Linked DNA regions of Xenopus tropicalis. Each later gene encodes a partner of the first gene's protein in a complex. Links are inferred from orthologs where the notes say so. Each region holds a gene or a part of one and is shown in the gene's direction. Other genes may lie near its edges.

What was found. The genes of interacting proteins can lie anywhere in the genome.
Region 2: the proteins of bccip (region 1) and tent5c are in contact, whole or in part, in a cryo-EM structure (PDB 8EQB), measured with the Homo sapiens proteins. The link is inferred for Xenopus tropicalis from reciprocal best matches to the Homo sapiens genes BCCIP and TENT5C. Residues at the interface, in NP_510868.1 of Homo sapiens: Val57, Asn58, Ile59, Glu60, Phe61, Glu62, Ala63, Tyr64, Ser65, Arg136, Gln146, Cys153, Lys155, Ala204, Gly205; in NP_060179.2 of Homo sapiens: Asp90, Asp92, Glu102, Gln106, Arg109, Lys135, Glu136, Val139, Gln140, Lys141, Leu142, Val143, Lys144, Val145, Cys146, Thr147, Asn164.
Region 3: the proteins of bccip (region 1) and tent5a are in contact, whole or in part, in a crystal structure (PDB 8EXE), measured with the Homo sapiens proteins. The link is inferred for Xenopus tropicalis from reciprocal best matches to the Homo sapiens genes BCCIP and TENT5A. Residues at the interface, in NP_510868.1 of Homo sapiens: Val57, Asn58, Ile59, Glu60, Phe61, Glu62, Ala63, Tyr64, Ser65, Leu66, Gln146, Val149, Leu150, Phe152, Cys153, Glu154, Lys155, Asn156, Cys157, Glu158, Lys159, Glu163, Lys167, Leu203, Ala204, Ala206, Thr225; in NP_060103.2 of Homo sapiens: Arg87, Gly88, Asp139, Glu151, Gln155, Lys158, Lys184, Glu185, Val188, Gln189, Lys190, Met191, Val192, Lys193, Val194, Cys195, Asn196, Asp199, Trp201, Asn213, Arg289, Lys295, Glu331, Arg334, Gln341, Asn342, His343.

What each region holds. Positions count from the first base shown.
Region 1 is NC_030683.2:25,046,658-25,050,310, reverse strand, and holds the end of bccip (protein BCCIP homolog), read left to right. Parts: intron 1-2,770; coding exon 2,771-2,941; 3' UTR 2,942-3,290; downstream 3,291-3,653. Other genes in the region: putative pre-mRNA-splicing factor ATP-dependent RNA helicase DHX32, read right to left, coding at 3,330-3,507. UniProt on the Homo sapiens protein: During interphase, required for microtubule organizing and anchoring activities. During mitosis, required for the organization and stabilization of the spindle pole.
Region 2 is NC_030678.2:2,829,627-2,833,279, forward strand, and holds part of tent5c (terminal nucleotidyltransferase 5C), read left to right. Parts: intron 1-2,477; 5' UTR 2,478-2,504; coding exon 2,505-3,653. UniProt on the Homo sapiens protein: Catalyzes the transfer of one adenosine molecule from an ATP to an mRNA poly(A) tail bearing a 3'-OH terminal group and enhances mRNA stability and gene expression.
Region 3 is NC_030681.2:89,016,668-89,020,141, forward strand, and holds part of tent5a (terminal nucleotidyltransferase 5A), read left to right. Parts: intron 1-1,595; coding exon 1,596-2,375; 3' UTR 2,376-3,474.

The sequences.
Region 1 (3,653 bases):
CAATATATCAGACGTCTGTAGAGCAGGGACAGGCAAGGGGGGCAATATATCAGACATCTGTAGAGCAGGGACAGGCAAGGGGGGCAATATATCAGACGTCTGTAGAGCAGGGACAGGCAAGGGGGGCAATATATCAGACGTCTGTAGAGCAGGGACAGGCAAGGGGGGCAATATAGCAGACTTCTCTAGAGCAGGGACCCGCAAGGGGGGGCAATATAGCAGACTTCTCTAGAGCAGGGACAGGCAAGGGGGGCAATATAGCAGTTTTCTCTAGAGCAGGGACAGGCAAGGGGGGCAATATAGCAGACGTCTGTAGAGCAGGGACAGGCAAGGGGGGCAATATAGCAGACTTCTCTAGAGCAGGGACCAGCAAGGGGGGCAATATAGCAGACTTCTCTAGAGCAGGGACAGGCAAGGGGGGCAATATAGCAGACTTCTCTAGAGCAGGGACAGGCAAGGGGGGCAATATAGCAGACTTCTGTAGAGCAGGGACAGGCAAGGGGGGCAATATAGCAGACTTCTCTAGAGCAGGGACAGGCAAGGGGGGCAATATATCAGACTTCTCTAGAGCAGGGACAGGCAAGGGGGGCAATATAGCAGACTTCTGTAGAGCAGGGACAGGCAAGGGGGGCAATATAGCAGACTTCTCTAGAGCAGGGACAGGCAAGGGGGGCAATATAGCAGACTTCTGTATTGCTCATTTCTGCAGAGCTGGGGTGAGCAAGAGGGTCCGTGAAGCAGAGTTCTCCAGAGAACTCTAAAAATGCTGCTGTTGCATTAACTGCTGTTATGCCATAAATGCCACAAGTTCCCTTTCTCTGTTCTAGAACTTCGGTTCTAGGGATATAGCATGACTTCTCAGGTCACAAAACATTTCACAGATTCCTGTGCAGTAACAAGATTTTTGCTTCTCACCCCCTGAACAACACATACGTCTATCCATTATGTAGTGATATTATTCCTAAAGCACATATATATATATATATATATATATATATATATATATATATATATATATATATATATATATAAAGGATGGTTTAAGAGCCAGAACAGTTCCTACACAAGGACATTGGGGCTTCCAGCATTGCGTTGTAGAGGAATAACTTTCCATTTTATCACGGGATGCTAGCAATATCTCACTTTGCCTTTCAACCATAGAGAAGTATTCCACCCCATTAAACCGGCTTTTAATATAGGCATAAAATCCACTTTATAACAGCATATTTCTGCGAGAGGAGAATCTCGTCCATTTACTGCACGCTCAATTTCATTTAATTAAAACTGCATATGTATATTTCAATGTATCGCAGGGTTCCCTAGTTGTGCACACTGATAACTTGATATAGGAAGGCTCTGCAACCTTGCACTTTAGATACAGAATGTAATAATTAGAGCTTATTAATTACTTTATCTCAGCCAGACCTGAGGAAACAGCTGGGATTCTGGCTCTTTATTAACATTTTAAAGCGTGTCCAGAGAGATCCCTGTCATCTCTAACTTGTTTGTGTAACGGGGCCTAGCCTGCATCCCATTGGCTTTTGTTGAAGGGGAACTTCTCCTTTAAATAAACACGTGGCATTGTATTTATGGCCCTTTTCTAAACGTCTTTTGATTTGTTCCTTATTTTTTATGGTTTTCAAAAAATTATCTTTCTTACCCTCAGCAACCAAACATGGTTGTGTGGGGTCACTGACCCCAGAAAAAAAAAACCCAAAAACCCCAAACTAACTGTAAAGGGCCTATGAGGCATATATTATAGGCACCACTTTGTGCCCAGCAGGAATGGCACATTTGTTTCTGTGTAGGGTGGAAGCTGGCATCTAGGGTTTAGTGGGGAGGTTTTTCAAAATTTGGCTGATTGTAATAGGTTGTTTTCTTCCACCCCAAATCTTTAGTTCTTGTTAATATCTGTATCTTAACATAGATTATGCACCCCTGGCATTCAGTTCTTTGCATGCCCATTTTGTTCATTTCTTTGGATGGCTGGGCATTCAGAGAACGGGACAACTGAATGCCATCATCATAGGAGGCTCTCCCCCCCCCTCCCAGTGATTGTACCATTCCTTTTTCTTTAAGGGGTCTATGAAGGACAGTGTTGGACTGGGTGCTAGGGGCCCCACCAGATAACCTTAGATAGCTGGCCCACTCTCCATACTATATTTATGTCTTTCCTCCATTTCTCATCTTTGCTCTCGTAGAGGGATTGGCCATGGGACACCTATACAAAGCTGAACTTATCTATCATTTCTATAGGGCCAGCACGTTTCACAGCACTTTACATTAATTTATAACAAAGAAATGGTATCAGCGGGCTGTGCTCATAAGACACTGACACCTGGGGAATTTCCCTGGTATCCTAGTGGGTCATCCTAGTGATGGGGGAAACTCGCTCCAAGGTAGCATAGTTTATCAATAGGGGAGTGATACGAACTGCTAAATAGTATAAAGAAACCAAATTAGATTGTGAAGGGGCTTATGGGAAGTTAAATATGCCAAAGGTGCCTGCGTGTTCACTTAACTGCTTGCTATCAGACGGCCGAGGGAAAGGGAGGGGGAGGCCCCATAAAAATGACAATGAAAAAGAACTGCAAAGTGCTCAGCGGAGCACTTTAGGCAGATTTAATTTTGGATGTTTTATGTTCCCATCAGTGCAGATATATTAGCTTGCTGCAAAGTGTGAAGGTTAGCTCCTGCTATTCTAGAAAGAGAACCTTGTTCCCTGCTAATGAACGTTTTACCTGTATATTTCCCTTTCTTTCATGTGCAGAAAGCTCTGCTGAAGTTCAGCTACTCGGTGCAGGAGGAGAGCGACACGCAGCTGGGCGGCCGATGGTCCTTCTCCGACGTGCCCATGAAACCCTTGAGGACGGTGATGTTGGTTCCCGCCGACAGGATGAATTCAATCATGGACAAGTTCAAAGAATACCTCTCCGTGTGAACCGTTTCCCTCCAAACAGAACTATGTACCCGAACGCCGATAACATCATAGAGACTAATTAATTTTTATAAACGTGCGCGTACAATCGTAGTCATTCATTTCATCTTTTGTATCCGCTGTCGGCTCCGGCGAGACCACGCAAGGGTTCTGGGAGATTTCATTAGTGTAATTAAAGACAAGGTCCCTTTAGAGCAGGCGTTCAGTCCCCGGCAGGGAGAGAGTACAACACAGGGTTCACTATATCATTTATTTGATCAGACACAGGGAGGGGAGGAAAAGGGTTACTCGGATTCCTATAACATTTACAAAAAAAGAAATCAGTTCATTAAAGTTTTCCTTTCCTTTTGGACATGTATTGCACTCCTGGAGTTTTCTCTATTAGCCAAGGTCATTGTATAATGCATCTTTGTTCTGTTGCACCTTCATCATCGGCATCAGGTAGGGGCTCCTCTTCTCCGGGCTCTTCAGCCGGGGAACTGGGCACAGTCTGGTGCTGCTGCAGGAGCTCTTTAGTCTCACTAGGGGGCAGGTTGCTGAAGTAGTACGGGGGAACGAACTCCATGAACCTAATGAAAAATAAAGTTTTTCCCCATTAATCCTGAGGTTACATATGTATCCATTGAGGCTATATCGTAACATAAACAAAAGCTTGCAACGAATCCACTATCACCCCTCACTATTTCAACTGAACCAAACCCAAACATGTTAACTA
Region 2 (3,653 bases), on another chromosome or scaffold:
TGTATAACAGAGCATTCTGTCACAGTGGCACAGATCCTATCTGATCCCCCCATTGTAAGCAGCAGTCCTGCCCTGCTTTATGGCTGAGATTCTAGCTATCTGTATAACAGAGCATTCTGTCACAGTGGCACAGATCCTATCTGATCCCCCCATTGTAAGCAGCAGTCCTGCCCTGCTTTATGGCTGAGATTCTAGCTATCTGTATAACAGAGCATTCTGTCACAGTGGCACAGATCCTATCTGATCCCCCCCATTGTAAGCAGCAGTCCTGCCCTGCTTTATGGCTGAGATTCTAGCTATCTGTATAACAGAGCATTCTGTCACAGTGGCACAGATCCTATCTGATCCCCCCATTGTAAGCAGCAGTCCTGCCCTGCTTTATGGCTGAGATTCTAGCTATCTGTATAACAGAGCATTCTGTCACAGTGGCACAGATCCTATCTGATCCCCCCATTGTAAGCAGCAGTCCTGCCCTGCTTTATGGCTGAGATTCTAGCTATCTGTATAACAGAGCATTCTGTCACAGTGGCACAGATCCTATCTGATCCCCCCATTGTAAGCAGCAGTCCTGCCCTGCTTTATGGCTGAGATTCTAGCTATCTGTATAACAGAGCATTCTGTCACAGTGGCACAGATCCTATCTGATCCCCCCCATTGTAAGCAGCAGTCCTGCCCTGCTTTATGGCTGAGATTCTAGCTATCTGTATAACAGAGCATTCTGTCACAGTGGCACAGACCCTATCTGACCCCCCCCCCCCCCATTGTAAGCAGCAGTCCTGCCCTGCTTTATGGCTGAGATTCTAGCTACTGATTGCAAATGTAGTGTTAAATCTATTGTTGCACGGTTGTAGCCTTCTGTTTCCTTTCTTTGCGGAGTTTTCGTGGCCTCACAAGATTATATGAGAGTTCCCTTTAATGCTATAACTATTGCCCAGTAAACTCCCCCATTCCTATGAAGTTGCCCAGAGCAGTCTGGGAGGATTCTGGCCTTTCCCTTGGATAAGATCTCGGTTACAACAGCCGAGTTGACTTTGAACAAGGTACAAGTGGTGTAAAATATACGATAATAAACAGATCATCTCTGTACAGTAGCCCCTGCCCTGTAACTACTACTGTGTGCTCTGCCCAAGGAGCTGCGGCTCTAAATTGCATCTTCGTTCAACCTGCTATAGTTCCAGGGGTACCCAGGGCACAAATAAGCACTCACCCCAAATCCCCCCCTAACTGGCCTTCAGGCTGGGCCCCCTTAGCCCATAACAAGGTTACAGATATATAGAAACATTGGGGTAACAGTCACCCCGCTATAGTTCCAGGGGTACCCAGGGCACAAATAAGCACTCACCCCAAATCCCCCCCTAACTGGCCTTCAGGCTGGGCCCCCTTAGCCCATAACAAGGTTACAGATATATAGAAACATTGGGGTAACAGTCACCCCACTATAGTTCCAGGGGTACCCAGGGCACAAATAAGCACTCACCCCAAATCCCCCCCTAACTGGCCTTCAGGCTGGGCCCCCTTAGCCCATAACAAGGTTACAGATATATAGAAACATTGGGGTAACAGTCACCCCACTATAGTTCCAGGGGTACCCAGGGCACAAATAAGCACCCCAAATCCCCCCCTAACTGGCCTTCAGGCTGGGCCCCCTTAGCCCATAACAAGGTTACAGATATATAGAAACATTGGGGTAACAGTCACCCCGCTATAGTTCCAGGGGTACCCAGGGCACAAATAAGCACTCACCCCAAATCCCCCCCTAACTGGCCTTCAGGCTGGGCCCCCTTAGCCCATAACAAGGTTACAGATATATAGAAACATTGGGGTAACAGTCACCCTGCTATAGTTCCAGGGGTACCCAGGGCATGTTTGGGATAAGCCCCGGATCAGAAGGCTTTAGTACACGCCCGGCCATATTGGTTGGGGAATTCTGGCTCTGGCTGTTTGGACCTTGCTCTTTCCACACACTTTATCATTCGCTAATCTGCTAGTGGGTCACATACCTGCGGGGCACGGGGCGACCTTGTATTACCCTGTTAGTAAACGGGTGGGTGTAAAGGAAATCAATTCCTAAAATACATAGCCGCTCTGACCCAGGAGCCTGCTGGGGGCAATTGAGCTCTTGGACAGCGGCACCCCACTGACTGGTGGGTGGGGGGTTAGTATTTAAGACCCTTACAAGATGTGCCCCATCCCTTGTACTATTCATGCTCTTCACTGTTGCACCCACAGGCACAGGTGCTCTCTGGGTGCTGCTGCTTCCCCCCCCCCCCCCCCACCTGTGGGTGCTGTGAAAGTGCTGAGTGCCTGAGTTTCCCATTTTGAAATGACTGTCTGGGTTTCCCCTGGTTTTGGACACCGCAGTCCTGTCAGTAGTGTGCATGGCACCCAGGGAAGAGCAGATGTAGTACAGCCCCCAGATATATCTGCACCCCCACTATTGCCCCCCCAACTCACATCTCCTTCCCTCTCCCACCCAGGTATCCATAAGCAACCCAACTCCTGCAATGGCAGAACAGAAAGGCAACAGCTCCGATGTCTCTTCCAAATCCCGCAGCGTCCTGACGTGGGAGCAAGTCAGCCGCCTCAACAGCTTCCTCACCGAGGTGGTTCCGATCCACGGCCGCGGCAACTTCCCCACCCTGAAGATCACGCTGAAGGACATTGTGCAGAAAGTGCGCAGCCGCCTGGAGGAGGCCGGCATCAAGGTCCGCGATGTCCGACTCAACGGCTCGGCTGCCAGCCACGTCCTGGTCAAAGATAATGGACTTGGGTACAAAGACTTGGACCTCATCTTTGGGGTCTCCTTGTCCTCCGAGGCGGAGTTCCAGCTCGTCAAGGACGTGGTTATAGGTTTGCTCTTGAACTTTCTTCCCGAAGGGGTCAACAAAGAGAAAATCAGCCCCCTGACTCTCAAGGAGGCCTACGTGCAAAAGCTGGTGAAGGTCTTCACCGACGCCGACCGGTGGAGCCTGATCTCCCTCTCCAATAAGGACGGCAGGAACATCGAGCTGAAGTTCGTCACCTCCATCCGCCGGCAGTTTGAGTTCAGCGTGGACTCCTTCCAGATCATCCTGGACTCGCTGCTCTTCTACCACGACTGCTCTGAGAACCCCATGTCCGAGCACTTCCACCCCACGGTGATCGGGGAGAGCATGTACGGCGACTTCGAGGCCGCCTTCCACCACCTCCGGAACAAACTCATCTCCACCAAGAACCCGGAGGAGATCCGAGGCGGGGGGCTAATGAAGTACAGCAACTTGCTGGTGCGGGACTTCAAGCCGGCCGACAAGGAGCAGATCAAGTCGCTGGAGCGCTACATGTGCTCGCGCTTCTTCATCGACTTCTCCGACATCTTCGAGCAGCAGCGCAAACTGGAGTCCTACCTGCAGAACCACTTCATGGGCGAGGAGAAGAGCAAGTACGACTACCTCATGATCCTGCGGCGGGTGGTCAACGAGAGCACGGTGTGCCTGATGGGGCACGAGCGGAGACAGACCCTCAACCTCATCTCTCTGCTTGCCCTGCGGGTACTGGCCGAGCAGAACATTATCCCCAATGCCACCAACGTCACCTGCTATTACCAGCCTGCCCCTTACGTCAGCGATGCCAACTTCAGCAACTACTACATTGCCAACACGGCCGTGCCCTACAGC
Region 3 (3,474 bases), on another chromosome or scaffold:
CTTTATAGGTCCCTGGTAAGGCCTCACCTTGAGTATGCAGTGCAGTTTTGGGCTCCAGTCCTTAAGAAGGATATTAATGAGCTGGAGAGAGTGCAGAGACGTGCAACTAAACTGGTTAAGGGGATGGAAGATTTAAACTATGAGGTTAGACTGTCGAGGTTGGGGTTGTTTTCTCTGGAAAAGAGGCGCTTGCGAGGGGACATGATTACTCTGTACAAGTACATTAGAGGGGATTATAGGCAGTTGGGGGATGTTCTTTTTTCCCATAAAAACAATCAACGCACCAGAGGTCACCCCTTTAGATTAGAGGAACGGAGCTTCCATTTGAAGCAGCGTAGGTGGTTTTTCACGGTGAGGGCAGTGAGGTTATGGAATGCCCTTCCTAGTGATGTGGTAATGGCAGATTCTGTTAATGCCTTTAAGAGGGGCCTGGATGAGTTCTTGATCAATCAGAATATCCAAGGCTATTGTGATACTAATATCTACAGTTAGTACTAGTGGTTGTATTTATAGTTTATGTATGTGAGTATAGATTGGTAGGTGTGGGTTAGGTGTGCTGGGTTTACTTGGATGGGTTGAACTTGATGGACACAGGTCTTTTTTCAACCCTATGTAACTATTTATGGGAGCTGCCACACTGCTGCTGCGTCTTCTGAGGCAAAATGAAATCTTCACCATTGGCATTAAGGAAAGCAGTGCACCACCAAGCTGTCAGCCTGTCGCAGAAAGGGTAGAATGACTGCTAGGATTCACAATAAACTTGTAACCTAAGCATTCCTCAGGCTTGGCACTACTCTTGTTTTGTCTGACAATAAGCACCACTGCTGTCCTGTCCCAAAGCTTAGTGGTCACTATATAATGGTCACTTAACAAAAGAGCCCCAGAAAGAAATATGCCCTATGCGTGTCCTAATTGCTGTACGCCTGCTGTTTCTCATGCATCTGTTGCATTGTACCATCAGCTGGGGGGCTACAGTTTACATATACAGACGCCATATTTTCTCAGAGAAGAGTATAGCTTATAGAAGAGGGAGGGACATTTTCTTATAGTAAAATTATGGCTGAGGAAAAAAACTGCCTAAAATTAGTCATCATCTTTTGCCATAGCTTCATTGCACTCCTGCTATGCACTTTAATTAATCTGCATGCAGCCAGAGGGCCCTGTGGGATAGCACCTAAGCAAAGCTCTACTACACTAAAGAGGACTTTACCCTCTCAGTGCCAAGAAGGTCCGGGGCAACTTTTATAGTGCACAAGTTAAAAGGGTTTTTTAGGTTACTTATATTATTTAACCTGCAGTGATAGTGATTGTGGCTTTCTGTATTGAGAACACTTTAGTATTTGAAACATAGATTGTTTTTTTTTTCTATTATAAGACGTACAACTATACATATAAATAGATTTTGCTTCTTAAAGCCTTTACTTTCTGCTTTAACAACGTTAATGCTTCACAGTGCAGTGCTGTGGCTTTGTTTACCACAGGTTTTTTTTTTTAATTCCGGTGGTTTGCAGTTCATGTTAAGAAACAAGGATTGTTTATCTGTCTGGTTCTCACTTCACTTTTGTGATGGACTTGTTTTATATTTCACATTGCAGGAGGCCTATGTGCAGAAAATGGTAAAAGTCTGCAATGACTCTGATCGATGGAGTCTAATCTCCTTATCCAACAACCATGGCAAAAATGTGGAACTCAAGTTTATGGATTCTTTGCGAAGGCAATTTGAATTCAGCGTTGATTCGTTTCAGATTAAACTGGATTCTCTTCTGCTGTTTTATGAGTGTTCTCAGAACCCTATGACTGAAACTTTTCACCCAACCATTATTGGGGAGAGTGTCTATGGGGATTTCCAGGAAGCCTTTGATCACCTTTGTAACAAGATTATTGCCACCAGGAATCCTGAGGAGATCCGTGGAGGTGGCCTTCTCAAGTATTGCAACCTTTTAGTAAGGGGATTCAGGGCAGCTTCTGAAACAGAGATGAAGTCCCTGCAGAGGTACATGTGTTCTAGATTTTTCATTGACTTTTCAGACATTGGTGAGCAGCAAAGAAAGCTGGAGTCTTACTTGCAGAACCACTTTGTGGGATTAGAAGACCGCAAGTATGACTATCTCATGACTCTTCATGGTGTAGTCAATGAAAGCACAGTATGCTTGATGGGCCATGAAAGAAGGCAGACTTTGAGTCTAATCACCATGCTAGCAATCCGTGTCTTGGCTGAACAAAACATCATCCCTAATGTGGCTAATGTAACTTGCTACTATCAACCAGCCCCATATGTAGCAGATGCTAACTTCAGCAATTACTACATTGCCCAAGTTCAACCTGTTTTCACATGCCAACAACATACATACTCCACTTGGTTACCTTGTAATTAAGACAGAGTAAACGGTTATTAGGAGGAAAATGTTTCTTACACTTACAAAAAGGGGGAAACCGAGTTATTACAATGGGGTGCTATTTTGTGCAGTCATAATCTGCCCTAGGTTTGAATCTTTGTGAAGCTTGTGGTTCATGTGGTATACATGAGTGCAAGGCCTAAGCTAGAAGATTGTAATTGGGTTAAGCCCAAGAGCACAAGCAGCCTATTATGTTAGTGATCACCTCCCTTATTGCTTAAGGGATCAAATGGTGAACAAAAGTACAGGCTGGCAGTCCAGCTCTGTTAATATTTGAATTCAAAAAGGTTGATTAAGTTTCATGAAACTTATGCAAGGAAGTAAAAATTCTGACCGAAGGATTATTTTTGGATTTGAAACAAGTACCCTCTAAAAAACAAAGAATAACTGTTTGGTTGCAGGCAACCCCTATCCAGGGAGAATGGCACAGTTGCAAGAAATGATAAAACAAAATTGTGAATACATCATTCATATTTCATAGATGTGAATGTGAAAGAGTTTAGTGGTAGAAAAGAGATTGCTTGGACCAAAGATTTCTTAAAGATATATACCCTAGTCAACTGATAGAGAAGAGCATATGTGTGTACTTGTTACCTTACTGTATCAAAGTGCCTGTTGCCTTCATAAAATTAGGAAAATATTAGTTTTTTGATAACATCATTGACACATCTATTTTAGGTATACTAGGTAAGATAACATTTTACATTTGTGAAGCAGTGAAGTGAATGCCCTATTTTCCTTGGCAAATATTATATATAATATTATAAATATTATATATATTTATATAAAGAAGTTGCAGAGAGTAGATGTGTGATTAACATGGACACTCACAAGGATATATCAAATATGATTCAGCTAAATGTAGCATTTAGGAAGAGTTCATAAATACATGGGTTAGAACATTTGTACAGTACAAGCCCTGCAAATATTTCCTTGTCCACACCTGGCTATTATGTTTAATAAACCTTAAATGTTAAATCACCAGTGAAAAAGCAACCTAGATGAGTCATTTACTTATTTATGCAAATCAAACAAATGCAGTTGTCTAACCAGCTGTAGGTTTCACATTTTATTCTAT